6 linked regions of the Macaca fascicularis genome follow. The protein of the gene in region 2 interacts with the protein of the main gene of each other region in a pairwise test. Links are inferred from orthologs where the notes say so. Each region holds a gene or a part of one and is shown on either strand. Other genes may lie near its edges.

Region 1 (5,061 bases), on a different chromosome or scaffold from region 2:
AGCATCCTGCAAGCTCAGGAAACATCCTGGGAAACATCCCATCCTTGGGTCCCCAGGGCCTCCAAGGTGGCATCTTTAGTAAAGGGGTTTCAAAATGCCAGTCCATGGAGGGTCACTGGTCAGAGACAAAAGTTCACTGAGTATGCCTTCACCTCCAAAAGAACAATGGTGAGTTGTTGTTGTTGTTGTTGTTTAATATAAAGCTGGATTTGATAAGTTTCAAAAGACTATCTTTTATTCTGAGTGTGTCCTTCCTGCTTTTCTACTAAGTAATGATTGTGACAGTAAACAGTAGGTTTTCTGTTTGTAATATACTTACTTGATAAGAAAGTAAATCTTCAAGGTTTGTAGTTGTTTTAATTTTATTGAACGATGAAATTTATTTATTTATTTATTTATTTATTTATTTATTTATTTTTTTGAGACGGAGTCTCGCTCTGTCGCCGGGGCTGGAGCGCAGTGGCCGGATCTCAGCTCACTGCAAGCTCCGCCTCCCGGGTTTACGCCATTCTCCTGCCTCAGCCTCCTGTGTAGCTGGGACTACAGGCGCCCGCCACCTCGCCCGGCTAGTTTTTTGTATTTTTTTAGTAGAGACGGGGTTTCACCGTGTTCGCCAGGATGGTCTCGATCTCCTGACCTCGTGATCCGCCCGTCTCGGCCTCCCAAAGTGCTGGGATTACAGGCTTGAGCCACCGCGCCCGGCCGAACGATGAAATTTAAAAGTCTGAGAACGGGAGGTAAGAATGGTGAATAGGTACAAAAAATTAGAAAGTATAATAAGACCTACTATTTGATGGCACAATAGGGTGACTATAGTCAAGAATAACTCAATTGTACATTTTTAAATAACTTGAGTGTAATTGGATTATTTGTAACTTAAAGGATAAATGCTTGAGAGGATGGATACCCTCTTCTCCGTGATGTGCTCATTTCACATTGCATGCCTGTATCAAAATATCTCATGTCCCATAAATACATACACCTGTGTACCCACAAAATTGAAAAAATTGAAAAATAAATAAAAGTCTGAGAACTATTAACAAAGCGGTTAAGAACACAGAGTGTTCAGACAGACATGGAGACACCACTTATCTATTTATGAACTTCAGATAAGATTGCCAGATTTGAAAAACAAAAAACAAAAACAGGATGCCCAGTTAAAGTTGAATTTCAGATACATAATTATTTGGGGGTTAGTATACCCACACACACCCACACACACCACACACCACACACACACACCTACTTATTATCTAAAATTCAAATTATCTGAAAGCCCTTACTTGAGAAGATTGCCTAACTTTTTCATTCCTAACTTACACTAAGCGTTTACTAAATTTTACTTCTTGTTTTTATTTTGTTTTTATAATACACAGTATCAAGCAAACTTGTTGTTTTTGAAACCCTGGCTGTGTCACTTATGACTAGCTGTATGATTTAATCTAGTCATTTTATTCCTGGGAGCCCAAAACAGGAATTATAAATGTTCTTTCATTGACTAGCTGAAATAGCTTCCCAAGGTTCGTTATTGTCGCTCCCCGCCCAAGCTCCGGTACACCAAAACTACACATCCCACAATCCTTGGCGGCGTCCCTTGGCCATTACCTCATTCCCTGGCCTCGTTCTCCCCAGTCCCGGCCTCTCCAGGGGTGTGGCAGCGGGGCTGTTCTCGCGACTTTTGCTTTACCCTTCTGCTGTGCTACTGCTGCCGCGAGACTTCCTGCTCATCTGCCGCTCCCTTTGCCGCCGCCTTAGCCCGGGACCCGAACCCAGCCTCTCCCCTATCCGAACACCGGCCCCGGCTCCTCCGAGGCAACGGTCCCCCAGCCCCGTCTCGCCGCCGCCATGGCGGACCCTAAATACGCCGACCTTCCCGGCATTGTGAGTACAAGGCCGGCCCCGGCTTCCCAGGACCGCGCCCCCGACCTCCCAAGGACCCCCAACAGAAACCAGCCCGCGACCCCTCCCGCCTGCAGCCCATCTTCCGCCCAAGGGCTCCCGCCGCTCGTTCTCCGACCGGCCGCAGCACCCCCCGAACTCTTCTGACCCGACTGGGCCGGGCAGCCGGACGGCTCACCAGGCCCCCTTTACGGCAGTCGCCGGTAGCTCGGCCCAGAAATCGACTCCGGGTACTGACCGCTTGTGCCCGGGTGTTTCCACCATCCGTGTCAGCGCCGCCCATGCCCCCGCCAAATCTCTCCATAAGACCCCCACATCCCTAGCCCAGACACACACACTAGACCACTTAGCGATTACCTTCATCCTGACAAGGAAAAGGTTACCATGGCAGAACCCTCTTGTGCCAGATCGGGAGCTCTATCCTTGGGGGAACCTGTGCCCTCCCCCACCTCCCACTCCCATGACAATCCTGGCGTGTACCTTTTGTGCTGCCCTGCCTGCTTCTCAAGGTGTGGGTTGGGACACAGGACCTTGAGTACTAAGGTCCTGAGTCACTCTCAATCCTTGTGCCAGGGTAGTGGTGTACAGGGCCTAATTGGAGGATAGCCCTCACCTTCTTCGGCAGTAGTGATTGCCAAGGACCTGCCCGCTTCTAGATTTAGGGTAACATCGTTGCTATCACTTACACTCACCGTTTACTGTCAGGTCCCAGTTGTCTCCGCTGTCATCCCTACCCCTTGAGACATGGGAATTGACATACTGTTGACTCACGGGGCAGGTGGAGGAGAAAGGACAGAACCCTGGCATCACACCCTGCCTTCTCCGTTAGCTTATTTAAATGGAGTGGGGTAAGGGGTGTTGCGATGCTGGATAGTGAGGTTGGGTGGTCACTGCTTCTACCTGCAGGCCAGGAATGAGCCAGATGTTTATGAAACCAGCGACCTGCCTGAGGATGATCAAGCGGAGTTTGATGCGGTAAGAATGTGTGCTGCCACAGATTCCTCCGAACTCTGACCTTTCTCCCCTAGACAGGTCCTTCCCTTTCTCTGGGGAACTACAGCAATAAGCGGGTATGCCAACCCCAGCCTGGGTGGTATATAGGTTGCAGGACTTGAAAAGACCTTGCTGGGCTTGCAGCCACCAATGAGCAACGGCAGGAGGGAGAGTCATGTCAGTGGAATTACAGCTAACAACATCTGTTTGCAAAGCCCTGATCCTTGGACCTTTTAAATAAAATTGAAATATCTCAAAACAGATTTGGGGCTAGTGACTTAGGCCCCTGGGTTCTAACCCATGGAAATGAATCATGAAGCCTGGGCACTTGTAATAAACTGCTACCGAGAACTAGACTTTGAAATATAGAGAAATACTTTTAAAATATGAATACCCAGTATCCACTGGGCAAGGAATTAAGAAAGTGATTCCAAGATTTTAGAGTAAAACAAATTTGAGGAAGAATTTCATATCAGCAGAGGTGAGATTGTGGTTGCATTTTTAGATCTGAGAACTCTGAGGATGGAGTAATTAGGTGCGGACACATTTTAACTATGAGGGGAAACACTTAGCATGGTTTATTGAATGTGTTCATTCTGTGTTTTTTTTTTTTTTTTGTGCAATGCAGAGGAAGAAATGTCACTGCCCCCAATGAGCCCCAGACTAATGGGGAATTAGGATACATATAGGAAACGTATAGAAGGAAAAAACAACAACAACAAAATTGAGTGAATGGAAATCAACATAGTAAAAACTCTGTTTAAGTGCCAAGGGGTGTGTTTATAGGATGTGTTTTAGGTTCTATTATTTCTGAAGAGAGCTGCGCTGGGATCACATTGGTGATGTGAGTTCTCAGTAAAGGTGTGTCCAAGAGTCATTGCAATATGCAGGCTCAGTTTGCTTGTCTGTAAGTCCTGTGGCTATTGTCTGTGGGGCTCGTTAGTTCTGGGGAATGCTGACTGCTGGCTTACAATGTATGGCTTGGCGTACTCACTTATTTCTTACTTGACTCCCCCATGTGGAAGTGGTTCTTACATTGTGGGAAACACCTTCTCTGTCCCTTCTCCCAGTGGTGTGGTCCTTGTGGCTTCCGTATTTGCTGGCATGCCAATCTATCCCCCAAGCTTGAGTATCTTGGAGATAATGCAGATGATGATGTTGCTCAAGAACCTGGGTGTGCACCTGTCACTCCAAGAGGCATCTTATAGGAAGCTGCCTCTGTCCTCACAGAATAGGAGTGTATACAGTTGGTTCTCTGTGTTTATGGGCTCTAAACCCATGGATTCAACCAACCACGAATGGGAAATATTTTTTAAAAATAAAAAATAGGCCCAATGCAGTGGCTCATACCTATAATCCCAGCACTTTGGGAGGCTGAGGCAGGTGGATCATTTGAGGTCAGGAGTTCGAGACCACGTCTCTACTAAAAAATACAAAAATTAGCAAGGTGTGGTGGCGAACACTTACAGTCCCAGCTACTAGGGAGGCTGAGGCAGGAGAATTGCTTGAACCCGGGAGGTGGAGGTTGCAGTGAGCCGAGATTGCGCCACTGCACCCCAGCCTGGGCAACAGCAAGACTCTGTCTCAAAAAAAAACCATTACAACAATAAAAAGAATACAATGAGATCACTTGGACACAGGAAAGGAAGCATCACACACTGGGTCCTATTGTGGGGAGGGGGGAAGGGGAAGGGAAAGCATTAGGAGATATACCTAATGTAAATGATGAGTTAATGGGTGCAGCACACCAACATGGCACATGTGTATATATATATGTAACAAACCTGCATGTTGTGCACATGTACCCTAGAACTTAAAGTATAAAAAAAAAAGAATACAAAATTTAAAAACACAATATAACAACTATTTACATAGCATTTACATTGTACTAGGTATTTTAAGTAATCTAGAGATGATTTAAAGTATACAAGAGGATATGTGTGGGCTATATGCAGATACTATGCCAATTTATACAGAAGATGTGAACATATGCAGATTTTAGTATCAAGGGAGGTCCTGCAACCAGTCTCCCACAGTTGCCAAGGGACAGCTGTATGCTGAGAACTTTACTGCACTACCACAGTTCAGACTATTCAACTTAGGCTTAGGCTTCTGCCCTTCATGGTGAGATAATGAATAGAACTCTTTCCTTTTGTCGCTGACTGTGAT
Region 2 (5,113 bases):
AAAGGTAAAGAGGTTGAACTTGGGGCTCACACCTGTAATTCCAGCACTTTGGGAGGCCAAGGTGGGAGAATCGCTTGAGGCCAGGAGTTCAAGACCAACCTGGGCAAAACATGGTGAGACCTCCCCCACCCCAATCTCTATTGAAAAAAAGAATTTTTTTTTTTTTTTTTTCCGAGACAGTCTCGCTTTGTCGCCCAGGCTGGAGTGCAGTGGCAGGATCTCGGCTCATTGCAACCTCCATTTCCCGGGGTAAGAGTCTCCTACCTCAGCCTCCTGAGTAGCTGGGATTACAGGCACGCACCACCATGTCTAGCCAATTTTTGTATTTTTAGTAGAGATGGGGTTTCACCATGCTGGCCAGGCTGGTCTCAAACTCCTGACTGCGTGAGCTACCTGCCTCAGCCTCCAAAAATGCTGAGATTTACAGGCGTGAGCCACCGTGCCTGGCTGAAAATTTTAAAATTAGCTGGGCATGGTGGCACATCCCTGTAGTCCTCACTACTCAGGAGGCTGCGGTGGGAGAATTGCTTGAGCCCAGGGGTTCGAGGTTGCAGTGAGCCATGATCATGGCACTGCACTCCGGCCTGGACAACAGAGCAAGACCTTGTCTCAAATAAATAAATAAATAAGAAGAAATTTGAAAAATACATATATATTCTTAATAAATTTGTGGTTTTATTGAGTTATTAGAGTCCCATGCCATAGGCCCTTCAAAAGCACATGTCCTCCCAAGAAAACTTTAATTACAGTAACAAGCAGTAAATTGATAAAAGAACCAGAGGGCCAGGGTACACAGGAATTGTTTTATTGTCTTTTCCATGTCTCAGGCATTCTATAATTGTCTACTTCATCCATGTTCTGAAGCTAATTAGTTATTCCATCCCCAGGATAAAGTTAGGCCTCTTAGTTTTAACTTCGTATTTGCAGGTTTGACCTAATTCCTTGCCAGCTCATAATATAATTAAGGTTGGCATTCCTTCTCTTATCCACCCTCCCCACTCCCCGGCCTTCCCTCCCAGCTGTGTGCCTGTTTATCACTAGATGGTGCTAAGACTTGGGTTATAGCTGCCAGAGACTCCAGGAAAGTTGTTTGGGAGCCAAGCAGGCTGGAATTTGAGAACTGGAAGATGCCTTCAGAGCTCATCCGGGCAGCACTTTTGTTTTACAAATGAGGAAACAGAAACTCAGTGAAAATAAGTAATTTGTCAGAGCCCCAGAGATCTCTCCCCTCCTTTTTTTTTCTCTCTTATCTGTTAATAGCTTCCAGTGTTACCTCATCACCCAGGAAGGAGCACAGCTCAGAGAGCAACAAGGTCAGAGTTGCTTTGCAGAAAGCACTTTGGCAGCTGCATGGTACCATTCATTGATTCATTCATTCATTCCAAAAGCAGTTATTGGGTACCTACTTTTTGCTTTGCATGGTGCTATGTTGGGAATAAAAATCAGATGAGAATTCCTAGGATTCTAGGAATTCACATTCTCTTAGGAAATTCAGAAATGCAAAAAAAAAAAAAAAAAAAAAAAAAGAAAAGAAAAAAAGAAAAATCACCCCCTAAATCAAAGATGCTATCATAGAGGTGATTATAGGACACTCTGGTCACTTGGAGGAGTTTGCAGCCAGCTGCATTCGTAATTCAAAGGGAAGATTTTGGTGAACTAACATTGGAGGCTGAAGGGCACGTCGGATCTTGTAGGCAGAGGAACAGGAGGAAGGGCAGTCTGGGCAGAGAGCATCATGGGGGAAGGCTTGGAGAGCTAGTGAGGCTTGCTGGAGAGAGCAGCTGATTGTAGCTAATGACCAAAGGGCAGGGTCAAAGGGGCAGGTGGTAATCTGGAAAGGAGGGAACAGACTGGAAAATACTTCATCCGAGGTGTCATGCTTAGGAATCTGTACTTTATCCTGAAGGCTACAGGACAACCCAGTAAAGCGTATTGCTCGGAAAATGGCATGGATGGAGTTTCTTTTCAGGAAGAACACTCTGACAGCTGCATGGAAGCCCAGACACCAGGAAAGCCTCAGATTGGAGGCTGGCGTCCCGGAGCAGTGCGAGGTAAGGGCCTGGCTGGGTTGGGGCAGTGGGAATGGGAGGAGGAGACCTGTTGGAGAGAAATTTCAGGAGCAGGACTGACAACATCTTTTTGAAAAACAGTGATTGGGATTGTAACTAATATTCCTAGAAGATGGTTACCACTCTGGTATTTGAATTACTTATAAAACACTGAAGGGATGAAATTTTAATTGAATACACATATTACTTGGATACAATGTTTGAAATTATTTTAAAAATGCAACTTTATGGCAGTATAGTAATCCTCTCTTATCCACAGTTTTGCTTTCTGAGGTTTCAGTAACCCTCTTGCCTCACTGCAACCTCTACCTCCCAGGTTCAAGTGATTCTCGTGCCACAGCCTCCCAAATAGCTGGGATTACAGGTGCGCACCATCACACCTGGCTGATTTTTGTATTTTTAGTAGAGACAGGGTTTGCCGTGTTGGTTAGGCCCCAAGGTCCAAAAATATTAAATGGAAAATTCCAGAAATAAACAATTCATAAATTCTAAGTTGCATGATGTTCTAAGTAGCTTGATGAAATCTCAGCCAGGCACGGTGGCTCACACCTGTAATCCCAGCACTTTGAGAGACTGAGGCGGGAGGATCATTTGAGCTCAGGAGTTTGAGACCAGCCTGGGCAAGACCCTGTCTGTACTAAAAGAAAAAAAAAAAAGTAGCCATATGTGGTGGTGTGCACCTGTAGTCCCAGCTATTCCAGACAGAAAATTAAAGAACAATAATAATAATAATAAAGGCGCCAAAAAGCTCCCAGGGAGTAGCAGGTAAGCCCAGCTGCCAGAATTCGCTTCCGGAAGCTCATCCTTATTCCTTGATGATCTATATATATGACTGGCTAGTACTTCCACTCCTTCCGCTTGAAAATATTTTACCTGTGGGAAACATTATTGTTATTATTTTTATTATTTTGAGGCAGAGTTTCACTCTGTTGCCCAGGCTGGAGTGCAGTGGCACAATCCTGCCTCACTGCAACCTCCACCTCCCAGGTTCAAGTGATTCTCGTGCCACAGCCTCCCAAGTAGCTGGGATTACAGGTGCACACCATCACGCCCGGCTGATTTTTGTATTTTTAGTAGAGACAGGGTTTTGCCGTGTTGGTTAGGCCGGTCTTGAACTCCTGGCCACAAGTGATCCACCTGCCTTGGCCTCCCATAGTGCTGGGATTACAGGTGTGAGCTACCGCACCTGGCCTAGGAAAGATTATTTTGATCACATGGCTGTCTTCTGGCCTTCTGGCCCTCAGTACCATGGTGCAAATTGTTTTATGATCGTCCCCGGGTAAAGTGGATGCTGGGTCCATCGTCCTTCCTGCCGCCTGCAATACATCCTTGGGAACATCCAGACCAGCCATTTGCCCTGGTCAGCATTGTTTCATTTATGAGATTGGTAATTAACAAATTAATTATCTAAGGTTGCGTGGTGAGAGAGGGAAAGACATTGAGATAGAAGGTTAATAGTGTCAGAGATGTCCTGACCAGAGAGACTCCATCCTGAATAAAGGCTAAGTAAAGCCAATCCTGCTGGGCAGCATTCCCAGGGGGTTGACACTGTTGGTCACAAGATATTTATGGTTGAGGGGATGAGTTAATGATGCTAACTTACCAAATAAAGACCCAGAACTTATGGAAACGTCCCAATATTTCAAGAACAAAAAGCATTCTTAGTTTAAGAATAGATTTTACTTTAAAGATAATAGTACACACATAAATTCTTGTGGAAATCAGTAGTAACATAGGAAAATAACAATACTAATAGCCCGTCACAAGCTGATCAAAAGTCTTTGTAATGAAGTATGCTATTCTTAACAACCTATATAAGCAAGCACTATGTTTAAGGTGAGGCATTCTTGGCCAGGCATGGTGGCTCACGCCTGTAATCCCAGCACTTTGGGAGGCTGAGATGGATGGATCTCTTCAGCTCAGGAGTTGAAGACCAGCCTGGCCAACATGAAAAAACCTTATCTTTACAAAAGATACAAAAGTTAGCCAGCCATGGTGGTGTGTACCTGTAACTCAGCTACTTGGGAGGCAGAGGTGGAAGGATTAATTGAGCCTAGGAAATTGAGGCTATAGTAAGCCATGATAGTGCCACTGTACTCCAGCCTCAGTGACAGAGTGAGATCTTGTATCTAAATAAATAAATAAATAAATAAAAATTTTAAAGTAGGGGCATTCCTCCTTTTGCTTTCTGAGGAAGCCTTACTCCATAATAGTCTCTAACAAACTATCTTAACTTTGCTGTACTCTGCAACTTGCCCTGAATTCTTTCCCGAGAAAGTGAGATCTAAGAGCCCACTCTTGGAGTCTGGGACAAGACCCATTTTCTGGTAACAGCAGTGGTAATGAATGAACATATGTAATTTAATTATCATTTGGATATCCAGTTTGATTTTCTTTTTTTAAATTTTTAAAAATTTTTGAGACAGAGTTTCACTCTTGTTGCCCAGGCTGGAGTGCAATGCATGATCTTTGGCTCACTGCCACCTCCTCCTCCCAGGTTCAAGCGATTCTCCTGCCTCAGCCTCCTGAATAGCTGGGATTACAGGCATATGTCACCATGCCCAGCTAATTTTGTATTTTCAGTAGAGATGGGGTTTCGCCACGTTGGTCAGGCTGGTCTTGAACTCCTGACTTCAGGTTATCCACCTGCCTCTGCTTCCCAAAGTGCTGGAATTACAGGTGTGAGCCACTGCCCCAGTTTGATTTTCTAAATTTTACTCTGCCTTTATAGAATTTCCTAGGGAGGAATTAAGGGAGCTCCACCTGCCCCGCTTGTTTTTATTTTATTTCATTTTTGAGACAGAGTCTCACTCTGTTGCCCAGGCTGGAGTGCAGTGGCGCAATCTCAGCTCACTGCAACCTCTGCCTCCTGGATTCAAGCCATCCTTCCTCCTCAGCCTCCTGAGTAGCTGAGACTACAGGCATGCACCACCACACCTGGCTAATTTTTGTATTTTTAGTAGAGACAAGGTTTCACCATGTTGGCCAGGCTGGTCTCCAACTCCTGACCTCAAGTGGTCTGCCTGCCTCAGCCTCCCAAAGTG
Region 3 (5,001 bases), on a different chromosome or scaffold from region 2:
AAAACATGAAACCTACAGTTTGCTAAGGAAGATCCTGACTGCTAAAGAAACCAACTCAACCTTAATGTTTGGAGAACACTGGATTTGGAGTAAGATGATCTAGGTTTATATCTTGAGGTATCATCCATTTCAAGTGCAAATAGATGGACAAGTCCATGGACATATCCTTCATTCTCTCTAAGCCTGGGTTTCCTAATCTTCTGAAAGGAGCTATAAATAACACCTGATACACTTGCTGAGTGTATTTCTGAGCCTCTAAAGAAATAATGAACATGGAAGTACTTACCAATGTTACATAGCCTTAGTGATCTTGGGCATCCTGAGATTTCATTAAATTTCGTTGCTAGTTTCATTTTCCCTTCCTTGGGTTAGAAAAAAAATACAGTGACCCATTCAATTCAGACAAGAATAACTAAGAGTTTTCAGAATAATGAAAAGTTTCAAGTTAAGATAACACAGTCACCCTCTTCATGCAAACATGAGAGCTATGAAACACTTATTAGAACTAATATCCCAGGTGACTATATACAATTCATCTATGAAGCTCAATTTGTCAAGAAACAGCATAATGGTTTTATAAAATTCAGTTGGAACCTGGACGGAGGGATGTAGATGCGCATTAAATTCATGGAATATTAAAGTAGCAAATTAGCATTAAAGTGATGAAAGTAAAGTGCAAATAAAAGACTTTAAGAATTAAGTAGTCGCCTCCATGTATTAGGAAGGAATTCTTTGGTTAAAATAAATCAAACACAAAATTCAAGTGCTTAAAACAAATCACTCGAGATGTCAGTTGGAAAATATATATTATTTTCTATTATTTCCTCTATGAAATGAAGAGAGACAGAAATTCTGTCATCAATGACTCTTGGAATTTGGTGGAAAAAGGAAAGAATCCGGAGTCAGTCCCATTGAGTTTCGTTCCAGCTTCTCTTAGAAGCTCTTCCCTTCTCCCAGAAGGGAGGCAACACTGTCCGCTCGCCTGACTAGCAGTTAAGGACCCATCGCGCTTGGAAAGCCAGGTACAAGCAGATGCTGTTAATCACCACAGGAACCGGGGCTGAGCGACGAAATCCAGCTCCTCCCAGCTGTAAGACACTAGGGTGCACGGAGAGAAAAGCAGTTCTCTTTACCCCAAGTTTATTTCTTTTTCATACCACTTCAAATTTGAGTAAGAGGAAAGAGGGCCAAGGGGATTTAAAGAACCTGGATGATGAATCCCAGCTGTTTACAGTTCCTTCGTGATCTCTTTGGTTCATTTATTCAACCAGTATTTCCGGGCTGCAGCTTGGGTGCCGGGCCCTGGGGTAGGGCAGTGGGACTACAATGAGGAAAGGACCCAGAATAGAGGGGGCACTGGACACATAACTGCGGGATAGCGAGGTCGCGCTCGCGCGGGGCGAGGTTGAAGGCAGCCGAGGAACCCCCCACAGGGCAGCGCCTACCGCCGCCGCGCCCATCCCCCACTCCGACGGCCACGAGTTCGGGCCGCGACGTCCCCATGGCAACAAGCGGCAGCGCTGAGCGCTGGGAGGGAGAGGCCCAACTGCCTGGTTGGTCGCGCGGCAGGAGGGCCCAGGCGGCGGGAGCGCAGAGGCGGGTGGCGAGGCCCCTTGGGGCGGGCCTGGCCAGGTGGGAGGTGACCTACGCGGTCCTGCGCCCCCGGCCTCAGACCTCTCGGGCGAGCGCCGCGCAGCGCAGGTAATGGCTCTTGGCCTTCCCGGCCACGCCTCGCCCCTGACCCTCACCCAAAGGCCAGGCTGTCCCCCGGGCTGGCGCGGGTCCCTGAGCGGGACAGGGGGACCCCAAAAGGGCAGCCGCTCTGTGGGAAGCTGGGCTTGAACCGAGCGCGGGTCCTGGAGGGGCGCGTGGCGCGGGGACAGAGGCTGGGAGGGGAGGCCCACCCATGCATATCCAGAGCAGAGCTGCGCCCTAAGTTGGAAGGCCTGGGCTTTAGTCGTGTGGCCTTGGGCAAGCCACTTAGCTTGTCTGTGCCTCAGTTTCCCTGACGTTTAAGTGAGAGATTTGAGAATCTACAAAACCATTTATAGGTCTGCGCGTTCTGGTCACGTTTTCCTTCACCATCCCTTGCTCCTCTCTGCTCTGTCCCACACACAGTTCCAGGGTCTCTCCTAAACTCTTCGGTTTGGAAGTGATGCGAGCTCGAATCTTCCTCCTCTTTCTACCTCCTTGAATGCTCTTTAATTGACTTTTATTCAGTGATTCGGAAGAGTTGAAGTCCTTCTCAATACTTTCTCCAGTTATCGTCATAGATTATTTTTTAACTATAATTTTGTTACTGAGAAAAACATTTTTTTTTTTTTACTTTAGGCAAATACTAACGTCCCTATTTTGTCAAGAGGTGAGCCAGTGCCCATAGAGCCATTGAAGAATTTCAAGATTTCTTTTTAAAGGCATTCGTAGCCTTTTTGTCTTAAATCTCATAGTTATATTCATCCTAACAAAATCCAGAGAGGGCCAAAGAAAGAATGTACTCAAATAAAGGCACACCTTTATTGGATCCACAAGAATAGAAAGTTTGAGAACATCTGGCTAGAATTTCTCTTTTAATGGGAATTCTGTTTTACTCGTTCTCATGTACTGAGTCCTTTGCAGACAATATAGTACCAAGCTATTATTCAATAAGTAGTAAATGGATGCTCATTTTAGTCAGTACCACATATTTCAATTCATCACTAAGTCAATATCATAAATGCATAGGGGTCGCTAAACAAAAAAACTCAAGTTTGGGAGGCCAAGGTGGGCAGATCACGAGGTCAGGAGTCTGAGACCAGCCTGATCAATATGCTGAAACCCCGTCCCTACTAAAAATACAAAACTTAGCCAGGCGTGGTGGCAATTGCCTGTCCCAGCTACTCAGGAGGCTGAGGCAGGAGAATCGCTAGAACCCGGGAGGCAGAGGTTGCAGTGAGCTGAGAGCGTGCCACTGCACTCCAGCCTGGGCGACAGAGCAAGACTCCGTCTCAAAAAACAAACAAAAAACCAAAACAGAAAACTCAAGTTTCTATATTTTGTAGGATCAAGAGCTACTACACAGAAAAACTCATACTAAGTGGGTTTTGCCAGTAGCTAAATTTTCCTGTTTTATAGGTTAATGAATGTAAACATTTTAGGAATTTGGATCATTTTCCCCCTAACAGATTAAAAATCAAGAAATATAAACCAGATGTAGCAGTTTCTTGACATGGAGAACCAAGCCCATAATACAATGGGGTAAGTGCTGAGAAATTTCTGTTTTATAAGTATGTACTTAACTATGCCAAAAACTTCCTGAGAACACATGAATTTTGAAATTTACTATTAAGAGAAGGATATGCCAATTATTTTTGGTGAGGCAGATGAGAGGAAATATCAAGTGACTGTAATTAAGAATTATAATGCGAGAGTTTCTGATTTTGACACTACAGATCTGCACTCAAAAAAATCACTGTTTTCCAACTCTTAGTGACTGTCCAATATCTAAGGGTGATGGATGCTGAGGCAGGCCTCATGTGCTCTTCTATTACCACAATGCAACCTCTCTTCGACAGCTTGCTCCTTTTTTGCTGCATTATCTCAAGTTTCCCTCTACTCTTGCCCCTTAAGGCTGAACTCAACACTTAAACATAGGCTGAGAATAGATCCAACTCCATAAAAACATCATCAAGAACTAGATATTTTACCAAAAGTTTCACGAAGAGATAAAAATAAAATTTGTATAGCATTTGTCATTGTAGAAATCAAATTCCTGTTTACAAATATCTGTCCTAACTCTTTACCTGCTACCAGCATCACAGAGTTTTGTCTTCCAATCACTAGCCAACTGACCACTGGCTGAACACAGCGTTTGGGGAATGAGGGGGTGAAGGGGTGGTTGTATAGTGCCTAATCTTGATTGCAGCTGACTTTGGCACTAGTCACACCACTTCAGTTGTCTCACTTTCAGAAATTCTGCCCAGACCATAACTTTAATGTCAGGCTGAAAGAAAGCTGCACAAGTTTGAATAACAATCATAGCTATCACTTTTTAGCTGCTACTGCATACTCCTTCTTACAACAGCCCTGCTAGGTATTATTATCGTTTTACAACTAAGAAAAGTAAATATATTACAGTACAGTCTAAGCTCTTATAACAAAGAGACTCCAAAAACAGCAGCTTAAGTAAGATTGAAGATTATTTGTTTCACATACTTGTCACAGGTGCTATGCTCGCCCAAGATGCGCAGACCAGGATTGGTTTGGCAACTCTGCCATCTTCACTAACGATTTCTATCTCTAGGACCAAAGTGGTTGTTTCAGCTCCTACCATCATAAGTGTGCTCTGTCATCATGACTGTGCTCCTTCCATAGGGAAGGAGAAGGGCAAGAGGAGAGAGTAAGACATTTTCTTTTAGGAGTATAACATGGAAATGGCAGGTCTCACTTCTGTTCATTTTCCATTGGCCAGAACTTAATCCCAGAGTTACAACTAACAGCAAGAAAGGCTGGGAAATATGGTCTGTAACTAGGCAACCATATGATCAGACGAAGCTTAGAAGTTCTAGAACAAAGGAGGAAGAATGGATATTGGTGAAAAACTAGCATCCTCTACCACATTCAGCCTCAGAAAGGTAGAAAGACCAAAAAAAGCAGGAGGTCATCCTAGAATATACACCAGGTTAGTAAAGAAAGTAGGATTTGAATTCAGGTATGCCTGGCTCCAATCCCTGTGTTCCTTTCTGCGTTGGAAATGGGTGGCAATGAGATGCAGGGAGCAGCCTGCCTGGTATCCATAGTAGAGCCAAGTTAGGATTCTGAGTTAAGTATGTGTTGGGTCCGTGGTGTGATGATAGCACTAAGAGTTAAGATGCAGATTGAAGATGTTGAACCTAAGGTTGGGTACCAGCTATCACTTCACTCCTGCAAATCCAAGGCTATGGAGTCATTTAAGAAACAGACCTTGTCCTTAAAGAACTTAGAATTTAGTAAGGAACAGTAGAACTTGTTTGGGTATGGTGTAAT
Region 4 (4,948 bases), about 26 Mb from region 2:
TAAAACACTGAGTATGTTTATTTCAAGTAGTCGGGTGAAGTACTAGCCAAACACCAGTTGACAACAGCCAAATACAAAAAAAGTTGTGCATCCTTACACAGAAAGGAAGATCTCTCTGTAGGGAAGGATGAGGTGTGTAGGGTGAGAGGCAAAGGTGTAAGTGAGGGGGAAGGGGTGGTGAAGGGAGTTGAGTCTTATGCCTCAAGGCCAACTGGATTCCAGGTTTGTTAGAGACACTGGTGGGTCTCGCAGAGGCGTTTGAACAAGAGCAACTCCATCTCGAATAGGAGCTGGGTAAACTGAGGCTGAGACCTACTGGGCTGCATTCCCAGACAGTTAAAAGGATTGTAAGTCACAGGATTGGGATAGGAGGTCAGCACAAGGTACAGGTCATAAAGACCTTGCTGATAAAACAGCTTGCAGTAAAGAAGCCGGCCAAAACCCACCAAAACCAGGATGGCAATGAGAATGAACCCTGTTTGTCCTCATTGCTACACTCCCATTAGCGCCATGACAGTATACAAATGCCATGGCAACATCAAGAAGTTACCCTATATGGTCTAAAAAGGGGAGGTATGAATCACCCACCCCTTGTTTAGCATACAATCAAGAAATAACCATAAAAATGAGCAACCAGCAGCCCTCGGGGCTCTGTCTATGGAGTAATCATTCTTTTATTCCTTCACTTTCTTAAACTTGCTTTCACTTTACAGACTCGCCCTGAATTCTTTCTTGCAGGAGATCCAAGAACCCCATCTCTTGGGGTCTGGATCAGGACCCTTTCCTGTAACAGGTCTAACCCCTTACAGACTCTCCCCACCTAAACTCAAACTGGAGCTGACCCTCACACACAGCAGTCCTTAAATGAGATGTGTGAAAGTTTCCAGAACTTTCACACATCTCCTTGCCAGGCCCGCAGTCAAGGACTCTCCTATCCCCTTGCCCTGAGACCCAATCCTAAAGACCATCTGTGGGGTTGGAACTAGAGGTTCCACCTCAGCAGTGCCCACCTCCTTCAACACCCAAACCCACAGTCTAACCCTGATGCCGGAAGCCTTCCCCACTCAACAGTAGGCATCGCGTGGAGTGCAAGAAGCCAGACATGATGGACAGCTTCCTGTCTGAATCCCCTCATATGAACCTGACGGGCACAATGAACCTGCAGGGTTAAACTCCGGACGCTGGCCACCCTCAGGGTGGAGATGACAGGACAGGACAGGACAGGACAGGGGCCATAGGGCTTCCGGGGGGCTCATGTTCCTTGACTTGGGGGCAGTTACAAGGGTATAGTGGGTCTTGTTGAAGGACAAAAGTTCAGTAAGTTCGTCCTGACAGGCCAAAGAAACCCAGAGCCGTCTTTCGACTGACTACAGCCTGGAATGGGGGCCAAGGCCACTCCCTGCCTCTATTGCTCCATTTCTGAGTTGGTCTCACTTCCCACTCCACCAACGGCACGCTGGGGAGGGGAGGGGCTATGCAAAAGAGGGCGGGGAGCGTGGGGTGGGGCCGCTCCTTGGAACGGAAGCGCTCGGCCTCGAGGCCCTTCCGGTGCGGGAGAAACTACTACTCCCATAATGCCCCGCGGTCCCGCGAGCAGCCAGTCTCGTCGCGAGAAGCAGCGGGCGGGGGCGTCTGAGCCGACAAACGGAAGTGTAGGTTACGGTCTGAGACATAACCGCCAAGCTGGGCGTCGGGGAGATGGCCGAGACTGACCCCAAGACCGTGCAGGACCTCACCTCGGTGGTAAGGGATGGCTGTGAGGGCCCGAGGCCGCGGCATTCTCGGGCGGCGCCGGGCCAGGCCCTGCTGGACAGAGGCGCGCCCACCGCGATCGCGCGTGGCGTCTGCCGAGGCCCCGTTTCTGGAAGCGTCTCTGGCCGAGGCTCCCGGCCACCTTGACCCCCTGGGCGCTCGGTGCGGACCCGTCTCCCCGCGGGCGCTCCCAAGCCCGACCCCCTCCGGTAGCCCCATTCACCTGTGGCGAACGCCCCCCGGGCCCCTCCTGCCTCCCTCTGACACCCTCCCCGCCCTTCGACTCCTTACACACCCCCGGGTGCCCCAACCCGGCAGAAACAGCCTAAAGACCCTGAACTTTGAGTCGCAGCGGCCTCCCCAGCCCACCAGTCTAATTAGACAGGTGGGAAAACGGAAGCCCCGAGAAGGAAGATCCTTGCTGAAGGCGGCACAGCTGCCCAGAGGCAGAAATGGGGCTGGAACCCGAGACCGGAGCTCACGTCCTGATCCCAGGAAGGTGTCTCAGGATCAGTGTGGACCATGTTTGTTTGTTTCGGTTTTTCTTAGGTGCAGACACTCCTGCAGCAGATGCAAGATAAATTTCAGACCATGTCTGACCAGATCATTGGGAGAAATATCCTTTTTATCTGTAGTGGGCCTCCTGTGGGCCTTTGGAGTCTCTTTGCCGGGCAGCGGTGGGGATAAATGAGTAGTTTTCAGGCCAGCTTCAGCCAGTCACTTACAGAATTTGAGCTTGGATTGTACTGTGTTTCCAAGAAGGACTGCGCCGAGAGCTCGGGGTACAGCTGAGCTAGACAGATCCCTGGCTCAAGGAGCGTACATCTACCAATCCTAATAGCTGGTGTGGTTGACCATGGACTGTGAACTAAGCGTTTTTGTGTGTGTCTTTCTTTTGATACTCAGCATGACCTTATGAGTGGGTTGTAGTGTTACCATCTTTAGCAAATGCATAAATTGAGGTTTAGGGGTTCCATCACTAGTAAGGGTCAGGGCCGGAAACCGATGCTGGGTAGCCATGCCCCAGAGGCCTATACTCTTACCCACCAGCCTGTAACAGTGTCTAAAGGAAATTGGAAGACCTGTTTCCCTAAAATCGTTGTGTTTAAGGCCGTAGTCTACAGGGACGGAAGGAAAGGGCTCAATGAGGAGATGTTGGCACGCGTTGTCTTTAACTTCACCACTTGATGATATGAGTAGTCGCATTGATGATCTGGAGAAGAACATCGCAGACCTCATGACACAGGCTGGGGTGGAAGAACTGGAAGGTGAAAACAAGATACCTGCCACACAAAAGAGTTGAAGGTGAGGAAGGGGGCAATTTTTTTTGTTGTTTCTTTTTTTCTTTTCTTTTTGTTTTTTTTTTTTTTTAACACGGAGTTTTGCTCTTGTTGCCCAGGCTGGAGTGCAATGGCACAATCTCGGCTCACCACAACCTTTGTCTCCTGGGTTCAAGGGATTCTCCTGCCTCAGCCTCCCGAGTAGCTGGGATTACAGGCTTGCGCCACGACGCCCAGCTAATTTTGTATTCTTAGTAGAGATGGGGTTTCTCCATGTTGGTCAGGCTGGTCTCGAATTCTGACCTCAAGTGATCCGCCCACCTCAGCCTCTGGAAGTACTGGGATTACAGGTGTGAGCCACCGTGCCCGGCCTTTTTTTTTTCCCTTAAAAGAATAGAACCTGTAAGTATAATTTTGATGTAGTCAGACATTCTGTAGATCAGTTCCCAGCCATGATCCCAGCAAACATCCCTGTATTCTTTACCCGCTGTGGACTTCATGTTTTGGAATTTTTCATGCCAAACTCATTCTTTACACTGAATTTATTTTCCCAGTTTTTATTAATTAGACTTCTGTCACTGTTAGTTAAGACAACTGGCTAACATTAGATAACCACTGAGTTTTTATCATTCCAGCTAATAAAGGGGTTTTTGTTGGCCTATAAAGCCTGTCACTGGAAGATTTTCCATTGCTTTTCTTGGGAGGCGGGGGGCGGTGGAGGGGATCGCTGATAAGTCGCCCACATTACCACCTTCTTAAATGGCTTAAATTCTGGAGACTTGCTTGGTAACTTGACATAGGTAAACTAGATTGTGGCCACATTAAGCTTTTACTCTGGAGTTCATTTAAATTTCCACTGAATAGTTTCAGATGTCAGAGGAAAGCCCATTAAAACTACCCAATAGCAAGATAGGTGCACTGAGTGCACAGTCCTTTTCCTCTGTATATGTGAAAAATAAGTTTTAAACTCCCTTTTCTCATGTTTCATGTATAACGTTTTAATTCTCTATAAAAATGAATGTTACCCAGGGAGGCAGAGGTTGCAGTTGAGATCGCGCCACTGCACTCCAGCCTGGGCGACAGAGTGAGACTCGTCTCAAAAAAAAAAACGGTTGCTGGCACGTGGTGGCTCATGCCTGTAATTCCAGCACTTTGGGAGGCAAAGGCGCGCAGATCACTTGATGTGAGGAGCTCGAGACCAGCCTGGCCAACATGGTGAAACCCTGTCTCTACAAAAATGGGCGTGGTGGTGCACGCCTGTAATCCCAGCTACTCGGCAGGCTGAGACAGGAGAATCCTTTGAACTCAGGAGGCAGAGTTTGCAGTGAGCCATGATCATGCTACTGCACTCCAGCCTGGGTGATAGAGCAAGACTCTGTCTCAAAAAAAAAATGAAAAAATAAAATCCTGAGTATTTTTAGATAGGTAGTGCACCAAGCAGAATATACAGTAAAAGATGCCTAGTTTCCTATTTTCTGGGCTTGCTCTGGACCACATTTTAAGTTACTGCGAAATACAGATTTGGGATGTTGAAGACACACTCTTAACTTTGCTTTTATCTTTACGATGGGTAGGGTTTATTCACTATGTGAGTACATCACATAACTGCTTTCTATGGGTGATGTCATCATTATTCTTATCCAGAGATAATTTGGAAAAATGTCCTACCAGTCTTCGATGCATCTGTGGGTCTCTTTTTATGTTATGTGGCAGCCAAAACTCCCATCAGCCGACTGAGAATCTTGCCACAAGAATTTCAGGATTGTAGACTGGCTAGTGATGGGGGTCATTCAAAGAAAAGAATGGGAGTAGGAAACTGACTCCAAAATTTTAAAAAATATTTCCAGTTAAATCTATTTTTGCTAAAATATTGTCCAAAGAAAATAAGTTTAACTCAATAGGAGAGTGTAAAGGGA
Region 5 (4,878 bases), on a different chromosome or scaffold from region 2:
TCAGTGGTGGTTTTAATAAATACTAACAGGTAAAAGGATAATTCACAAGGTAAATGTGATCGATGTTGATAGAATTACAACGTTAACAGCAAACAGGATAAAGAAGATGTCATATGTAGTATGTTTGCATACTGTTTAACAGAGACTCTTGTGAAATCTTCCTGGGAACCGTTATTCAAATTGGCGGCGATCTGGCTGCTGTCAGCAGGAATTCACTGCTTCTGAGGAACAAGCCCAAACAAAGGGGAAGGAGAAAAGGCAACTGGGAAGGATGAAGATGGCACTGGTGTGTGCTATTGGAGCTCAGTCTGACCTGGTGTAGCTCTTTCATTAATGATCTAGGAGTAAACAATGCCTTAATGAAATTCACAGAGCATGCTCACTGGGGAAATGTGAAAGTCTTTGAGAACTGAATCATTACGTGCAAAAGGAACCAGGAGATCAGCTAGCTTGGGCTGGAAATGGCATTGATGGCTTGCAAGTTAATGTGCTGGAGGGAAATAGATCAGAAAACACAAATATTTAATGTGAGGAAGAAAAACGGGAAATCAATGCGTCCTGAAAAGACCTAAGGGTGATAACAAGTAGTGATCACAGGCATTTGCAATGTAATTGAGAAGCCTAAACACACAGCAGGACTGGGAGCTGGGAAGCAGAGGCACTTTCTAGAGACAGAGCTGCTGCCACAAGTCCTTTCTGAAACAAATGGAAAGTGGATTCCATCCCAGAATAGAGTAGCTTTTGGCAAATACAAAATAAGAAGCCCAGAGATGAGCGGTTAAGATGCGGGGAGAAGACTCCATCTCCAAAGAGCAAAAGAAGAACCACAGAGCTAAGATGCAGCGTGGCCCAGCTTAGTGGCATGTGCCCTGGTATAGCGGAGAACATGGGCACTGATTGGAGTTCAAGCCCCTTCCTCCATCTCTGCCATTACTAGTGGGGTTCCTGGGGTTGCCAGTTCCTGTACCTGTAAAATCTCTACCTCACACTTACTTGGCACCGTGCTCAACACATGATCGCACTAACATTCAGTCGATATTTCTTCCTCTCCTTGCTTCCCAGATCAACCCTGTCCCCTAAGCCATGCACCATCTCATCTAGGGAGGCCGAGTGAGCACATTGGTCCCTCTCGCAGCCCTGGTGGTATTTTGGTTCAGATTATCTACTTGTAGACACCCACACCCGTCCCCAGAGTGCCAGTCTTGAGCATCCTGACAGGTGTCCAAAACCTGGTGCATGGCTTGTGCCCTCTTGGCAGGTGTATACACCTTCCCGTGAGAGGTACACATGCCCAGACAGGAGATATCCTCTCATTCTTCACCCACTCTGCCCCCACAGGACCCCAGCAGCAGCACCAGGTCCTCCAGAACAGTAATCAGGCAGCCCCAAGACAAGCTTGAGCTGTCTTAAACCACATTCTCTTCTCTTTGATTGCTGGGCTGTTTCTGGGAGCTGGGGAGGGAAAGTTACGGTAGGTGTTGATGGAAACATCATTCCAATTTCTCTATCACATGACCACTACTCTTTCAAATCCTATCCCCTCCTTCACACCCACCTCTAGGTTGGCATCCTCTGCCTGACCAAGTTTCTTAAACACCAACTTTGCCAACATTACTGAGGGTTACTATCAGAGAACGTTCAGCCATCTGAGGTACTTTCAAAGCATGTAAAGTTGAGAGGCCCCAGGATTCTGGAAGAAAAGATTGGTTTATATGGGCCATGAGGCATCACAGCAGTAACACCCACTCTTGGGGAAGCAGTGGCCAACACAACTCCCTGCATATTTCAGGTGGAAAGAATCAGGCCCAAAAAGATTCCTACAGCTTGTTATCCTGTCGAATGATCAGGGGGAAGTTATCTTATATTCTAGCTAAGATTCAAGTCATAGAAAAGTGACTGTTCATTACAAAGTTATAAAGATAATGTGAAAATAAACATCCAGGATGTTTTCTTCTTCCATATGTTTGCCTCCCACTGAACATACTTGCCTAGATTGTTACAATTATATCTGGAATGCTCACCAGTGGTCAATCCTCCTCCTACACATCCCTGGACAGAGCTCTCAGATAGTTACCTCTGCTTTGGATTCCTCCATCCTACATTTCAACCCCTCTGGTTGCATGGCCCTGGTCTTCCAATGAGGCCTTAGGTGACTCTGGAGAAAGCAAAGCCACCCCTTTGTGACATAGCATCAGTAGACACAATTCAATCAAGAAGACTCCACTAAGGAAAGAGCTGATTTCAGGCAGGAGGAGACCTGAGAATCTCTAGCCTGTGAGGACTTCACCAATTCATTGACCACAAAAGCATCTATGCCCATGGCCCCTACATCTGTCTTTGGTGCATAGCAGGGCTTAATTCTCTTGACAACTCCAAATAACTCTGTACCCCTCTGTCCATGAAGGAGGTTTTCTTCTCATGGATTCATTCTTATGCATTTGATTCCAAGTCCCAGTTCTAATTCTCCTCTAGAAATCCAAAGTGAATGCACAACACTAAGCACCAAAAGGTCTCGTTTTGAGAAGGTTGGGTTACTTCAGAGTATCATAGAAACTTGGAATGTTAGGACTGGAAGTTCTTACCAAACCATCTGACCCAACCACCTCATTCGTGGGAAAAAGAACCCAAGGCCCACAGGGGCTATGTGGCCTTCCCCAGCACGCTGCCTGCTGGCAGCCAACCCAAACTAGAACCTGAAGCCCTATCTCTGCTTATTCTACAACATCTTGCTAGAGTTTTGAAGGAGGAGGTAGGGGGTTATTCTGGCTAACACCGATAGGTTACATCCTCTGTGATTATCCCTACCTGAGGTAGAACCACATTGATTGGAATTTCTAGGCTTTCAGATCTGGTATCTCTTTTTCTTGTAAAATTTGGCCTTGAGTGCTGTGGAAAAGAGAAAAGAAGAAGATTGCTGCTTCCCAACTCATCCTCTGGGCCTCAATTGCTCACCTAAAAAACATAGAACTTTCTCCTCATTTATTTCCCTCTTGTCAGTTATGTACAATTATGAAAGTCTGGAAGAATGTGTAGACGATATCTGGCAAGACGGTTTATCAATCTCTGAACAGATATTAAGCTAGATATTATAGTTGATGTAAAAGACTTTTGAAAGTCTTTGACGCGGAGATAACTGTACCTGCTTGCCTAAGATGATTATTTCTATCTCAAGTAAAAAGCCATACCAATGTGAGTTGCCAGGTATAGGTCCTATGCAGAAGTTGGTCACCAAAACACTCAGAACATTCCAGAGGTGACATCACAAAACAATAGGGTGTTTTTCAGGGCTCATGGTTTCTGTCTGAGCATCACAGGTGGGAATGAGGCATCTGACAGGCAGGAAGAACCTGTGGGGGCTGTGACTACTTGGCCGGTCAGGGTCAGTGTGACACACAATAGCTCAAACATTAGCCCCCTGTTGGGTCATCCCAGCTGCCATTTGTATTCTCACTGCCAGGCTAAGTTGAGACCCCTAGTTTCTCTCCAGAAGTGGCGTCTTCTTGGAGTTCGGTCACTCAAGAAGAAGGAAACACAACTGAACTCTTCCCACACCAAGCGAGAAAGTATAGTCTGAGGTGTTTTCTGACACTACTCAATTCCTTAATTCTCTGACATCAACTGTGTGCCCTACAATTCCATTTCATTCTGATGCTATCTACCTGGAGTTAGTGTGATAGAGCTGAAGGGGCTTACTGCCCAATGCAATAGAAGCCAATACTAAAACACTACGTTCTTTAAAAAAGAAAAACTTGTATATTCAAAGTCAACTCCCAAGGAGACAAGAGTCAAACTCAAACCGGTCTCTCGGTGCTGACATTAAGGCAGTATTTTTATTAGAAAAGTTTCCGGGGGTAGATTCCGAGATTAGTAGGTGATTGGTAGATGGAAATGGGAGATATGGAAAGTCCCAAAGAGTAAGAAATCAGTAACTAACAGAAATTTTTGAGTTTCGGGATAGCAGATAAGAAAAGAAATTTAAGCTGCTGAAACTCCCTCCACTTGTGAGATCTAGAAAAACCTGGCGGAAATTGGTTGGAACCAAAATGGCTGACTGGAGCTTGCACACAATAAGCTTGCTGATGTCGTAGCCTGAATTTCCACCACATGTTTTGTACTAATTCCCCCTGAATTTGCACATGCAACTCAGGAGTTAACATGAAGAAATAACTGTGCATGCCCAAGGACTTTCCAGACCTCCCTTTTCCTTGTACCAATCACCTGCTAATCTCAGAATCCACCCCCTGAACCTTTTCCAATAAAAATACTGCTTTAATGCCAGCACAGAGAGACAAATTTGAGCTTGACTCCTGCCTCCTTCAGAGGTGACTTTTAATATAAAGCTTTTCTTTTTTTCAAAAACTTGGTGTCAGTATTGGCTTCTAGCATATTGGGCAGTGAGCCCCTTTTGCTTGATAACAAACTAGAACCCCAGGTGAGACGAACAGCCTGTTCAAGGTACTGTTGCCCCTAGTGGTGTGCAGGCCCCCTGCACTGATCCTGAGTAGCCACCTAGACCAGTGCGTTCAGAGGCTCAACTATAGGGTTCCTGCTTCTCTACCATGGCACTTCAGGTTCCCTTGGCACTTTTCCTTTGGGAAAAGAAATTGCTTCTGGATTAGACATCTTTCTGGTGAGTACCTTGTTAATACGTACCTGTACTTTTAATTGTCTTTGAACTCATCATAAGGACTGTGGGTTCAGGTCCCACCCTGTGGTTTAGGATTATGGATGAGAGTCCCACCCTTGTCTAGGACTGTGGGTTTGAGTCCTACCCAAGGGGGATTCTGGTCAGGTTAGAGTCCCAAATCTGGTGTATGTTCAAGTCACAAAGAATTAAGGCAATAGTAAAAAGCTGCAGCCACTGAGATAATCTAGTCT
Region 6 (4,961 bases), about 33 Mb from region 2:
CGTGCAAGTGCTTAAAAAGCAAGATCACAGAAGGGTTTATAACAAAAAGCCAAAGTCCCCAGCCTCAACTCACACCTCCTCTTAGGAAAACTTTTTTTTTTTTTTTTTTTTTCCAGACGGAGTTTCGCTCCTTTTGCCCAGGCTGGAGTGCAACGGTGCGATCTTGGCTCACTGCAACCTCCGCCTCCCGGGTTTCAAGCAATTCTCCTGCCTCAGCCTTCCAAGTAGTTGGGATTACAGGCATGCGCCACCATGCCTGGCTAATTTTGTATTTTTAGTAGAGATGGGGGTTTCTCCAAGTTGGTCAGGCTGGTCTCGAACTCCCGACCTCAGGTGATCCGCCCGCCTCGGTCTTCCAAAATGCTAAATTACAGGCGTGAGCCACCGCGTCCGGCCTCGGAAAACTCTTAACTGCTTCCCATTTTTAGTTCTGGCAGCTCTCTCCATATTTGTGGAAACGATTTATTGGATTATCAATGTAAGGTATTATCTGTCGACTCACTGCTAAAATAGATCAGGATTTAACTAACACTCCTCTCCACCTCTTCCCTCTTTCCGAATTTCTAACAGTTTATTACCTTATGTTCTAGAGATAATCTTTCAATTATATACTTAAACCTCGATTTTTTTGTTTCGTTGCTCAAAGTTAGCTAGATATTGGCCCTGCTGTCTTCCATCAGCTGCAATTTTACCTTTACGTCAAGGTTGAGAACATTGACCTTCTGGTCTGTCATCCTGCTTAAGAGTTTCCGTGCTTTGTCTGTAAGATGGTGCTAAAAGCTTTACTCATGAGCAGTATTTGCTGGGTTATGTCGGTGGAGGACAGCGTGCTCTGCCTTGCTGGCTACTAAGTGCTGGGGCTGCAGCCTGACCCCTCCAGGTGCAATGCCACGTCCCCAGATGCTTAACTTGTGGTCTAGAGGTACCTTTTAAAAATCGTTGCAACCCTGCTTACAATTTTCCCCCTCCAAGTGGACAGCTTCGGGCATCCCTCACTGCCCCAGATTCTCAACGGGGTCTGGCGCCCACCGTTTTAGGGAGCGTAATTCCCAGAGCTCAGATGTCAACGAGACAAGAGCTACCGCTCAGTGGGCGTTTTCTCAGCCCTAAACTCCCGATCGACTCCGAGTCTCCTTGCCGGACCCGGAGCAAATCTCAGAGTCAACATGCGAGAAGCGGCAGCCGGGCGGCGGACCTCCGGCTTCCGGCACCCTCGCGCTTCCCGCCGGCACGAAGGACGCCTCTCGACAACCACCCGCCTCTCAGAGGCCGAAGTCCTAGGCCCTCCGGCCTGCGCTGCCTGTCCACGGACGCGCTGGCCTCGGGACACCCACCAAAGCGGCAGGACTCGCCTCCGCCAGCTCCACAGCCCGGAACCTAGTACGCGCTCCTAGGAGCCGCACAGCGCAGATCAGGGGGCGGGCTTTCGGCCGCACCCCTTCACTGTTTCCCCGCCTTCTTTGTTTATTCGGGGCCCGTCATTGGCTGCTTGGCCTCGAAACCGGGCGAGCCGCGGGTCTTTGGAGAGACGCGATTGGACGAAGTCCCTGTCGCTCGGCCAGCGGCCCGCTCGCGATTGGTTGAGAAGCCGCCGGGGGTTTGAATCGCATCCCCGGCCGGGGAGGGTTCTGCCAAAGTGCCACGTTGGGCCCGGCGGCGGCGTGAAGACCGGCGGCAGCGTGAGAACCTGGCTCCCTACGTTCGCGCCGTAACGCCCGGCCGTTGGGGCCGTTGGGAGGCGCTAGGCGAGTCGAAGCAGCCGGCCGGTCGGCGGCGGTCGCCGGCGGGAACGGGGCTGAGGCGGCGCGGCGGAGCCTGGGCGGCGGCGCGTCCCGCCCGAGGGCGGCTCTGGCTGAGGGCGGAGGGGCCGGGGAAGAGCCCGGGGCAGCGGCTGAGGCGGGACGGCGGCGGCTGGGACCGTTGCCCCTAGAGGACCCAGCCGAGATGCTGGCGGAAAACCTGGTGGAGGAGTTTGAAATGAAGGAGGACGAGCCGTGGTACGACCACCAGGACCTCCAGCAAGGTGAGGGCGGGGGCGCCCCGCGGGCGGGCGGGTGGGCGGCGGCGGCCTGGCCCGGGAGGCCCCCGCTGCGAAACTGTTAAAAAGTTGCTTTTTCTGGCGGCTGAGGATGCAGGTGCCGGGAAGGGCTCGGGCTCACCTGGCGGCGGGGCCGGCCGTGCCCGTGGATCCCGCCCGCAGGAAGCCTCGGCGCGGGGCCCATGGCCCTGCTAATGCGCAGTTGAATATCAGCCCCGAGGCGCATGGGGGCCAGGGACGCGCCAGGCACCGTTTTAAGCGCTTTCCGTGGATTAGCTAGTTTAATCCTCACTGCATTCCTCCGAGGCAGACCGGGTGAGCCAGTGTGTCCCGCAGTAAGTGGCAGAGCCCGAGAAGCCGCCCCCTCGCAGGCTGTGTAGCCCAGCGCCTTTCTTGGCCAGCACGGAGGGCCGGCTGCTGCAGGTGGTAGTGGTTTTGCGATGTAGCGGGAGCTGTGCGCTCTGCGCCGTAACTCTAGGAGACAGTAACTTTTAAAAAATTGATTAATTTTGAGGGTACATAGTAGGTGTATCTATTTATGGGGTACGTGAGATGTTTGGATACAGGCACGCAGTGTGAAATAAGCACGTGATGGAGAACGGGGCGTCCATCCCTTCCAGCATTTATCCATTGAGGTACAAACAATCCAATTACACTGAGAGTAACTTTTGTTATCCCATTTTCCAGATGAGGAAAGCGGAGGTTGAAACGGTTGAGTGGCTTGCCTAAAGCTAAGTGGGGGAGGGAGTGTTTTTTGAACCCACACACTCAAAAGGAGGAGTTGTAGGCACTCCTCAAACCCCCATCCCTTCCTTACCATCCTAGTTAACGGTTTTTTTTCAGTTGGGAATTAAGCTGTTACGCATAGTTCACCAGATGCCAGTTGAAATGACAGAAGAGCGCTTCTACCTCTGCCACTTTTCTTCAGTTTGCATGCCAGCTTTCACTTAGAAATAGGCCTGCCGATGGTGTCTCCAGAGAACAATCATAGAGCAGCCAACACTTTGGGGCCAGTGGGGCCCCACTTTTTTTTATACTAATAGCAGGAGCTAGCAATTGGGGAACACTTTTGATGTGCCTAACACTGATAGGCCCATAACAGAGTTGCTCATTTATCTCCCAGTAACACAATAGAGGTGATAATGTTGGGGAGTGCTAGGGTTCCCCTTAAGACTCGAGAGCAAACATTCTTAACCGCTATACTGAACACTGTGAATAATCCTCAGGAATTTTTCCCGGCATCTTTGGTTTCTGCAATTCTATGTAAATGTTTTCAGCTCTAATCTTGCAGTGAAAATTAACATCTCATTTAGTTAAATATTAAATGATGATGATGCTTGTTCATGCTAACCACTGAACATGGCAGAAGGAAACTGTGTAGACTTGAATAACTCAGAAAAGGAAAATAAAATGAGCACCCCTTTTGGAGGAAGATAATTTCTTAAATTAACATGCAATCACTTTAACCAAAGTAATTCACCTTTATTACGCTTATAGAGTCCAAGCTGCTTAGTGGTTGCAGTGCAGTGTTTGGTGGCATCATCTTTATGTCCAAAGGACAAATTTCTCATACATTTTAACAAACCTGTTTTCAGATTTCCCCATAGGGATTGATGGCCTAGTTTGATAGTTTCTCCAGGATTTGTGAGGCAACCACTGTGCCATTGCAGTATTTCCCTATAATTTAATTTGTATCATCACAACTAAATATTTTTCTTTCCTGTATTTAAGAAGCATAGGCCGGGTGCGGTGGCTCACGCCTGTAATCCCAACACTTTGGGAGGCCGCGGCGGGTGGATCACAAGATCAGGAGTTTGAGCCCAGCCTGACCAACAAGGTGAAACCCCGTCTCTACTAAAAATACAAAAATTAGCCAGGCGTGCCTATAATTAGCATGTGCCTGTAATCCCAGCTACTCAGGAGACTGAGGCAGGAGAATTGCTTGAATATAGAAGGCGGAGGTTGCAGTGAGCCAAGATGGCGCCGCGGCACTCCAGCCTGGGCGACACGAGACTCTGTCTTAAAAAAAAAAAAATTTAAGAAGCATAAATCCTTAAGGGTATAGAGGGGGCAGGTTCTTTTTTCTGGTATTTCCAGCATCTAGCATAATACTTGGCACATACTGGAAGCTCGATTTTAGTATTTGTTGAACTGCACTGAAGCACTAGCACAGAAGTGTTTTCATGGCTCTCTTCCATCAGGTGCCTTAGTCCACGCTGCGTTCTCCCACTGTTGGAGGTTGTTTGGAACCACCAGCTGTAACACTTCAGTCTATCAAGCAGCAAGTGCAGCGTGTCAGGGTTACACGTGGAATTCTCTTTAACCTCTGATCAAAATAAAGTCATCAACTCTTCAAGTTTAACGTTAAAAACACAGGTCTGGCCAGGCGCGGTGGCTCACGCCTGTAATCCCAGCACTTTGGGAGGCCGAGGCAGGTGGATCACGAGGTCAGGAGAACGAGACCATCCTGGCTAACACGGTGAAACCCTGTCTCTACTAAAAATACAAAAAATAAAAAATTAGCCGGGCATGGTGGTGGGCGCCTGTAGTCCCAGCTACTTGGGAGGCTAAGGCAGGAGAATGGCGTGAACCCGGGAGGTGGAGCTTGCAGTAAGCCGAGATCGCACCACTGCACTCCAGGCTCGGCGACAGAGCGAGACTCCGTCTCAAAAAAAAAAAAAAAAAAAATTTAAAAAACCACACAGGTCTGGGCTGGGTGCAGTGGCTCATGCCTGTAATCCCAGCACTTTGGGAGGCCGAGGCGGGCATATCACCTGAGGCCAGGAGTTCGAGACCAGTCTGGCCAACATGGTGAAACTCCATCTCTACTAAAAATACAAAATTAGCTGGGCGTGGTGGCAGCCCCCTGTAATCCTAGCTACTCGGGAGGCTGAGGCAGGAGAATTGCTTGAAACTGGGAGGC

What was found.
Region 1: the proteins of KIFC3 (region 2) and DCTN2 interact in binary tests that used the Homo sapiens proteins (3 or more experiments, as listed by UniProt). The two-hybrid records come from large-scale screens. The link is inferred for Macaca fascicularis from reciprocal best matches to the Homo sapiens genes KIFC3 and DCTN2.
Region 3: the proteins of KIFC3 (region 2) and DEUP1 interact in binary tests that used the Homo sapiens proteins (3 or more experiments, as listed by UniProt). The two-hybrid records come from large-scale screens. The link is inferred for Macaca fascicularis from reciprocal best matches to the Homo sapiens genes KIFC3 and DEUP1.
Region 4: the proteins of KIFC3 (region 2) and HSBP1 interact in binary tests that used the Homo sapiens proteins (3 or more experiments, as listed by UniProt). The two-hybrid records come from large-scale screens. The link is inferred for Macaca fascicularis from reciprocal best matches to the Homo sapiens genes KIFC3 and HSBP1.
Region 5: the proteins of KIFC3 (region 2) and CBY2 interact in binary tests that used the Homo sapiens proteins (3 or more experiments, as listed by UniProt). The two-hybrid records come from large-scale screens. The link is inferred for Macaca fascicularis from reciprocal best matches to the Homo sapiens genes KIFC3 and CBY2.
Region 6: the proteins of KIFC3 (region 2) and CDR2 interact in binary tests that used the Homo sapiens proteins (3 or more experiments, as listed by UniProt). The two-hybrid records come from large-scale screens. The link is inferred for Macaca fascicularis from reciprocal best matches to the Homo sapiens genes KIFC3 and CDR2.

What each region holds. Positions count from the first base shown.
Region 1 is NC_088385.1:64,354,145-64,359,205, reverse strand, and holds the start of DCTN2 (dynactin subunit 2), read left to right. Parts: upstream 1-1,730; 5' UTR 1,731-1,845; coding exon 1,846-1,881; intron 1,882-2,805; coding exon 2,806-2,874; intron 2,875-5,061. UniProt on the Homo sapiens protein: Part of the dynactin complex that activates the molecular motor dynein for ultra-processive transport along microtubules. In the dynactin soulder domain, binds the ACTR1A filament and acts as a molecular ruler to determine the length.
Region 2 is NC_088394.1:53,965,932-53,971,044, reverse strand, and holds the start of KIFC3 (kinesin-like protein KIFC3), read left to right. Parts: upstream 1-1,847; 5' UTR 1,848-1,943; coding exon 1,944-2,051; intron 2,052-5,113. UniProt on the Homo sapiens protein: Minus-end microtubule-dependent motor protein. Involved in apically targeted transport. Required for zonula adherens maintenance.
Region 3 is NC_088388.1:92,363,764-92,368,764, forward strand, and holds the start of DEUP1 (deuterosome assembly protein 1), read left to right. Parts: upstream 1-1,670; 5' UTR 1,671-1,701; intron 1,702-3,161; 5' UTR 3,162-3,205; coding exon 3,206-3,234; intron 3,235-5,001. UniProt on the Homo sapiens protein: Key structural component of the deuterosome, a structure that promotes de novo centriole amplification in multiciliated cells.
Region 4 is NC_088394.1:79,684,377-79,689,324, forward strand, and holds the start of HSBP1 (heat shock factor-binding protein 1), read left to right. Parts: upstream 1-1,617; 5' UTR 1,618-1,698; coding exon 1,699-1,743; intron 1,744-2,301; coding exon 2,302-2,368; intron 2,369-2,936; coding exon 2,937-3,055; 3' UTR 3,056-3,057; intron 3,058-4,948. UniProt on the Homo sapiens protein: Negative regulator of the heat shock response. Negatively affects HSF1 DNA-binding activity. May have a role in the suppression of the activation of the stress response during the aging process.
Region 5 is NC_088391.1:24,906,390-24,911,267, reverse strand, and holds the start of CBY2 (protein chibby homolog 2), read right to left. Parts: upstream 3,332-4,878; 5' UTR 3,261-3,331; coding exon 3,186-3,260; intron 2,887-3,185; coding exon 2,806-2,886; intron 1-2,805.
Region 6 is NC_088394.1:21,363,492-21,368,452, reverse strand, and holds the start of CDR2 (cerebellar degeneration-related protein 2), read left to right. Parts: upstream 1-1,630; 5' UTR 1,631-1,944; coding exon 1,945-2,023; intron 2,024-4,961.